2 linked regions of the Tribolium castaneum genome follow. The protein of the gene in region 2 binds, or shares a complex with, the protein of the main gene of each other region. Links are inferred from orthologs where the notes say so. Each region holds a gene or a part of one and is shown on either strand. Other genes may lie near its edges.

Evidence for each region. Proteins that work in one complex are often made in the same cells at the same time.
Region 1: DNA replication complex GINS protein PSF1 (region 2) and Mcm5 share a complex: the UniProt entries of both Homo sapiens proteins name them as parts of the CMG helicase complex. The link is inferred for Tribolium castaneum from reciprocal best matches to the Homo sapiens genes GINS1 and MCM5.

What each region holds. Positions count from the first base shown.
Region 1 is NC_087396.1:20,934,017-20,938,298, forward strand, and holds the start of Mcm5 (DNA replication licensing factor Mcm5), read left to right. Parts: upstream 1-1,477; 5' UTR 1,478-1,624; intron 1,625-2,022; exon of another isoform or gene 2,023-2,737; coding exon of another isoform or gene 2,738-2,864; intron 2,865-2,918; coding exon of another isoform or gene 2,919-3,034; intron 3,035-3,083; coding exon of another isoform or gene 3,084-3,299; intron 3,300-3,620; coding exon of another isoform or gene 3,621-3,911; intron 3,912-3,966; coding exon of another isoform or gene 3,967-4,161; intron 4,162-4,211; coding exon of another isoform or gene 4,212-4,282. Other genes in the region: Ada2b (transcriptional adapter 2B), read left to right, coding at 1-59, 113-244; Pli (protein pellino), read right to left, coding at 2,738-2,864, 2,919-3,034, 3,084-3,299, 3,621-3,911, 3,967-4,161, 4,212-4,282. UniProt on the Homo sapiens protein: Acts as a component of the MCM2-7 complex (MCM complex) which is the replicative helicase essential for 'once per cell cycle' DNA replication initiation and elongation in eukaryotic cells.
Region 2 is NC_087400.1:16,460,457-16,463,515, forward strand, and holds DNA replication complex GINS protein PSF1, read right to left. Parts: upstream 1,478-3,059; 5' UTR 1,385-1,477; coding exon 1,313-1,384; intron 1,262-1,312; coding exon 1,197-1,261; intron 1,143-1,196; coding exon 689-1,142; 3' UTR 539-688; downstream 1-538. Other genes in the region: PWWP domain-containing protein 2A, read right to left, coding at 2,955-3,059. UniProt on the Homo sapiens protein: Required for correct functioning of the GINS complex, a complex that plays an essential role in the initiation of DNA replication, and progression of DNA replication forks.

The DNA.
Region 1 (4,282 bases), on a different chromosome or scaffold from region 2:
GCAAGACTTTAAATTTGCAACCCGTCCAATACACCACACTGAAATCGCTTATTATTCAGGTTAGTTGTTTGATTTGTTTGTTTGATTGGGTTTAATTGTTTTTTTTTAATAGGAAAATCTCTTGTCTCCGAATCGACACCGTACCGTTGAAATTGATAAAAATTCGTCTGAAGTTAGTGTTAAAGATGTTGTTACGCAATATCTTAGTCACAGTGGCTGGCTTCCAGGGGTTTCTGTTGTCTGATCTTTGATTATGTAAAATTGGAATTAATTTTTGTTTGTCACGATATTTTAGTTAGCTGGGTTAACACTGATGGGTTAGTGTCTTTTTTAGTGTAATCGACACTTAAAAATTGTTGTAGTGGCATAATTGTATGTTCCTTTATCATGTATTCGGAAGTAAAATTACCGTTGGGGGCGCCACTGAGCTAGGTCGAAAACAGTAACCATAAATGGCGGGAAAATGTTTATTCGGATATTTTGAGCGTTGTACGAATTTTGGGGCTTCACAATTATTACATTGCCTATGCGGAATGATTATTTCATCTTTGATGCAAGAAACTTATGTTGACAAATGAGAGATGACGAGGAAAACACGAATAACGAATGACTGTTTGGTTCACTTTCTTTATTGGAAAATTATTACAAAGACATTGAAAAGCCTACCTTTTGGCATAATTTACGTTTAAATGTATCAGCAGTTGTTAATCTTTATTGTAGTTTTGTAGATTTACCGCAGCATTTCATGATTTTTTCAGTGGAAAATTCTAACCTAAAATTCATAACACTTCACTAATTTATTGGTTTCTTGAGCCAAACTTTGTGTTCGCTGTGATCCATTACTTATAATCTTTAATTAGACAACTGTTTGATAACACTTTGTAATCAAAATTTAAATATTTTTCACTTTTTATCCACTTTCAAGTTCCAACAATAAACACTTTATACCACGAAAAACTACAGAACCAAAGTCAACGCTAGTATTTACCACCACGTACTTTTAAAGTAATTCTTTCTATTGTAAGTAATTAACACTATACACGCAAAATTGTTGAACAATTCATTAAATGTCAGTTAAATGTGGCATTACGAAAATTTCTTTACTGTTTTCGACATAGTTCAAAAGTCATCACCAGAGGGCTTCTAGTTAATTTTGTTTCCGAATTAGGGTGTTGAAAAATTATCAAAGTATTTATTTTTACTTCAAATCATGTTTACATAATTACAGTTAATGTAAGGGTACCATTATTTTAAGACTGTTTGTATATATTGTAGATTTTAGTGAAATTAAAGCAAATGACTGAGTCTGGTGTTTTTTTTACAAATTGAGGTAAGGAAAACTTGGAAATAACGGGCGATAGTATCGGAGTATTTTGCAATTGAAAATTCAAAAGTTTGATTTAGGCGCTGTGACATCTAGTGATTTAATTGTATTAATGTTGGTAATGAAACAATTGGCGGTGGGTCAAATTTAATGGTGGTCGCATTTTCCACAATTTAATTCGAAGAAAAGGTGTTAATGCGTGTATTTTGGACAAATATTTACAGAAAAATGTGAAAAGACTGAGTGTTTCGGTGTGGAGTGGTTAGTCTTGAGAAAAACGGCGGCTTCGGTGTTTTTCAAGTAAGTACAAAATTTGGTTAGTAATGGCTGTGGTAATGGTTAACTTCTAAGACAATTTTTTTTTCAATTTTTATCAAAGACATTATGAGTGAAACTAATATGGATTTAGTGAAAATGTGTGTCTTTTGGTCGTAATTTTTGGGTTCAATGACCCCAACGATGGCAAATTTCCTTAATACGAAATTCACAGCCGCCTAGATCGCAAAAATTATTAAAATTGGCTCACAAAAACGTTTAATGTAAAATTACGAAGTTAAATCGTAAAAAAACGGCGACGAAATGCTGTTAAACACTCGGACTCTTATTAAACTTTCGTAACAAATTCGAGTCCTTGGGGTAATATTTTGTAATATGTTATTGTTAAACATGTTTGTGGGGTTATAAATAACAACAAATAGTTCAATTTTTAAACTTTTTTTAGTGAATCCAGGCACAGATAAATTCATTTCGTGGGACTATAGTAGCTTAAATATTAACTACGGCAACTTATCGTCTAGTATATACAAAAAGTGACTAACGGAGAAACTTACAGGGTGTCTCAAAATTAACGAATTCCGAGTTCAAAGCGTTGTAGAGAATCCCTTCAGTAGTCCCAATGTAAAAACAAAATGAAGATTTGGGACTTCCCCGCAGAGACATTGGTTGAAACCCAGAATCTTAATTTTTTTTTCTATATTTGGACTATTGAAGCAATTCTCTACAAAGCTCTGAACTAAAATTCGCCAATTTTGAGACAGCCTGTTATCACGATAAAATCAAAAAATCTGGGTCAATTAAGTATGTAAAAATATTTTTTTTGAATAAAACATTGCATTAACAGGTCGATTTATATTAAATACTTATTACATTATAAGCTAAATCCTAACCAGTCTTAACGATTCACGCATTTGCACTGTAATAAACCGCAATTTCCATTAAAAAAATCATGATATGATACAACTGCAATTCTCGGCTCGCTCCCATCTTCAAGTGCAATTATATACAATAATTACAAGTAATTACAATTGGGTAATTTCCAAAAAATTAATAAATGAGACTGCTAAAAACCAATTATACATTAAATAAAAGAGCAAAAACATAAATAAAGCTTTGGTGGACTACTCTACATTCCTTTCAATCCACATTATCCTGGAAAATTAGGCGGACGTACCCCGGAGACCCCGCCAGGGGCGAAGCGCAAAAGGGGCACACGGCGTGAAACCCATTCGTACCATGCGGAATAGCCACATTTGCCCAGTACCTGCAATAAACGTACATTAACCCAATCAAAAAATAATAATAATAATAAACTCACTTGACGGTCTTTTCGGTGGCCATGTGCCCGCACGGGTTGAACGCGAACGTCGGGGGCCCCGAATCGACATAAAACGCCGGCTCGAGCCCCATAAAGACCTTCACAACCGGTCCCAACTAAAAAAATACGTCAGAAATTTCGCAACTAAATTGGAAAATCGGTTACTTCTAGGCAAATGGGGCACTTTCGGGCGCCCGAATCCTTGTCTTGGCCCCAATCGTGCAAGCCTTGGACGTGTCCGCAGTTGAGATAAACGTAAGGCTGTTGCAGGTTTTCGTTCGGTGTGACTTTTCGGGGAATGACTAAAGTGTTCAAGCCAACGGGGCACTGCGGGCGACCGGCGTTGATTTCGTCGATTTCGCGCTCCAGGTCGCGTTTGCTCTGAAAATTAGACGAAAAACAAATTGTTTTACCCGCCACTGAGCTGATTTTCTATTGTTATTGTGGCGGTTTTTACCGTGGCAACTGTTTGTTACCACAGTTACAGACATATTGCAGCGCATTTCTATGGCAACTTTAGGAACCCACCCACATGGGCGGCTCGTTTAGATATAAAAGGCAATTTATTTTATTTTTTTCAAAAATTAAACTTCAAAATACCTGCTTGTGATTTTTTGCAAAATAATTAAAAAACATTTTTTGTTAGACGATTAGGGATTCAAAACAAGTATCTTAGTGATGATTATTTAACTGGTCTATTACCGGCGATTTTGTGAGCCCCTCTGCCGACCTCCACAACAGCGTAGCCCCGCACAAATCGATCAAAGTCCCATCTTCCAAAATATTCGTCTCGTTTTCCACCACTTGGCCCTTCTGTTGGGCCGACCTTGACTCCCTCAACGAAAACACACCTCCACCAACAGACGTCTCCAACCAATAACTACACTTGGCATCTCCCCCACAAAACGTCCCTCTTGGATGCATAATTAACACACCATTCGTGGTCAAACCGTCGATTTCGCGCCCGTTTTCCTGCCATTTCGTTGCTTTCTCCTGCAAAAAAAAAAACATCACACTATTTTTTTCCATTTAATCATTGTTAAAATACCCCGAGAAATATGTTTTTGGAGGTGTCAAAACCGGCGGCGTATATCCTCGCAATTTTCGGATTCTTCCTATCGCATAAAATCCGACACGCAAATCGCGATATCGTGCTTTGCATCACCTTGGTTTCGCCAGTCTTGTCCCCGGGGACGGTGTCCATGACCACGAAGTCGATGGGGGCTTCCGACGAACGACCGATCTAAAGAAAAAAATTGGCAACACTCTAAAATGCAAAAAACGCTCAATTACTTGAAACATGTCGGTGTCATCGTCGGGGGTGTATTCCACTATGACGGCATGGTTGCGTGAAAGTGTGTAGG
Region 2 (3,059 bases):
AATTTTTTTTATATAAATTTTGATTTGCAGGGGTTCATTTGAAATATCACAGCTCGTGAACCCTTTATAATAAGTGAATAATTCTTTTTGCATTTGATAGCCAAAGGTTTGAAAGATCTTCTAAAATCTTCTGTATTGTCAACCGTAAAACTGCCTTACTTTACATAATTCACAAAATTATAATGAAACATAATTAAATATTATTGTTTTACTGCTTATTTGATAATGAACCAGCTAAAAATTAAATAAGTTTGACAATTGTTGACCATTTTGCAAGTTCTACTTGATTAACTATGAAAACTGCGAAGTAGTGATTTAACTTCAAACTTGGCGCCAATTTTTTGTAGTTCCGAAAGCTCAGCCATTTTGAAAAAAAATAAGTTGAATTCAGAATAGTCGATTTAGATCGTGTACAAAATTTTAAAGCTCTAGCTATATTACAAGTTAAAAGTTACTAATGTAGGCCCTAACAGAATCACCGTGTATAACTCAGGTATCAATTTACTTACAAACACTAAAACATGGAATTTAATCAGAGTTGGCGACACTGGACGCTTTTATTTTACGAAATAAGATTAATTTAAGATTATGTTACAACTAATTATTTAGTATTGAATCACCACGTACAAAAATAAGGTAATTTAAATATTTTCAAGGACATTTGATGTTTAAAAAAAAGGCGCCAAATTCAAACAACGTGTTCAAGGACCCCTTGTCGTATTAATTCCTCGCATTCGCTTCTCGGTAAGTAATGACGACTGTTTTCCTTCAATAACAACACCGAACCATCGTTCAATTCAAACTGTCCATAATCCGTTAGACACCTGACCTCAATATACAAAGACTTTGGCGGTTTTAAATCCACAGCTAAATTAATCCCTTCATCACCAATTGATCGCATATATTGTACTAAATTGCTGGAATATTTCGAAAACCATTCAATTTCCGATTGACTTAAATTCGATTTAACATCTGGCGGTAAAATACTGCCGAATTGCCAGCGCATGTTTCTGAGACATTTTAACCGATTGTAGTGATAAGCCAGAATGCATCGAATGTTCCGTTTGATAGCCGCATGCCGTATTTTGACTGTAGGTAAATAAGAGGCGTGATTCATAACCCGACTATCTTCAGAAATTTGACTGAAAAAAAAAACGCTGAAGTATTGGTTTCGAGGATCAAGTGTGTAAACTTACGCATCTTCTTGGTTTTGAGTAATGAGTTGCTTGACTTCAGTGTTGATTTCATTGAGAAGATCAGTCTGAAAAAAAATTGTAAAATATTGAGTGAGGAACAATTTGGTAATTTTTACGTTGTAAGGCGGTAAAGCGTCCCGGTTTCGAGATAATTCTTTGATCAAAACGTGGGCTTTCTCACAAAACATTTCGATTTAAAATTTTGTCTAAATAGTTTTCTAACCTAAAAGCCCGCCAAATGACAGTAAAGGTGCATTTATAATGACAGGCCACAACTAAAGGCGGGTTTACACGAATCACGCGTATCCTTGTGTGATGTCACATCTACGGTAAGTTATGCTGCCCTACTACGCAAAAATTTCGTCACTACTTTTACGTATTTTTTGAGTTATTTCATGTTTCTTAAATTTTCTATGGTATCTTTATTTCATATAATTGAAGTATGAAATTTTGAACTTTAATAAACGATTTATTTGCAAAAATGATATTGGCACGTTATTTTATGCATATCTTTTTAGAGTGCTGTTTTTCAATATACGACAATTGAAATACAAATTTTCTTGAAGTTTCGAAGCAAAAAAGTCGTAACTACAAAAAACATTTTTTGAAGATAATTAAACAATTGATGGCAAAATATTCGTATAATAAATTAACGAAGAAGCAATCTAGATGGACAGTCAATGCTCTTACAAAGTGGCTAATAAGTATGGCTACAGCTAATTTTTTTATTAAAATGTGTTCTTTTACAGACAAAAGTGTTATTTAATAACCATTATTAACTTTAACTTATTTTTTGGTCAAAGTTCAGGCGGAAACGAGCTAACGTTAGATAAAGACAACATTTCCAAAGCAGAGAAAATTTTATTAGTTAGATATTTTTTTAATGAGATAAGCATGTGTTACATCAAGAACTAAAAAAATAAATTTGACCCTTCTTGCTGTGTAAAAAAAGTTAGCCTTGTATCCCCAGAAACAAAATTAATGTAAATGAAAATTTTATAGACATCTAAAACGATAGAATTTAAACAGTACTTTTAAGCAAATACAAGATTTCAATTAATTATTATTTAATATTTAACTGTATCCATACTTTTTAGCAACCAAGTATAAGAGTAATATTATAATATCTAATAATAACAATGAATACTTAACTAAATAGACATTTTTAATTTTATTTTTGGGGCAAATTGTTCCAAAAATTATGCTATTAAGAAATGAAATGGGACAACTAAATATTTTTTTTATCACTTTTGGAAAATTTTGTTAATTTTTTTAGTTCGATGGTAATATTTCATGACGGGTCTTGCACAATGCAGTCTTGTCAACTGAAAATTGTAGTTGAAAAAATAGGCCTTAGTACCAAATGACTTTATTAATTTAATTTTACTACTTACATGTTTCTAAAGGAATAAAATCACAGATATATTGATTATTGTTTAACAGATAGTAGTAACTATGACTTAACCCTATAAAAATCTTGAATAAAACACTTCAATATGAAAACAATCATCCAAAGTTATCACAAAAAATATTCTTTACAAGAGATGATACAATATCAGGAATTAAAATAAGAAACATGTTACGCCTGCTGCATACAAATATTTCTGTATAAATATAAAGTACTTTATAAAAAAGAATACATCAATGCGCAGTAGTAGCTATTAACACATTTAGTATATACAGGGTGATGAGCGTGATTTAAACACGCTACAACAAAACCTGTATGTTCCACCAAACAAGGAGGAGAAAAATGCTTCATTATGATACAACATCAATTTCTCTAGGCGACGCCAAAGCAGGTGGCACCACCTGTTGGATGATATTATGGGAAGGTGAGTTTCCTAAAGGTTGGCGCATCTTTAT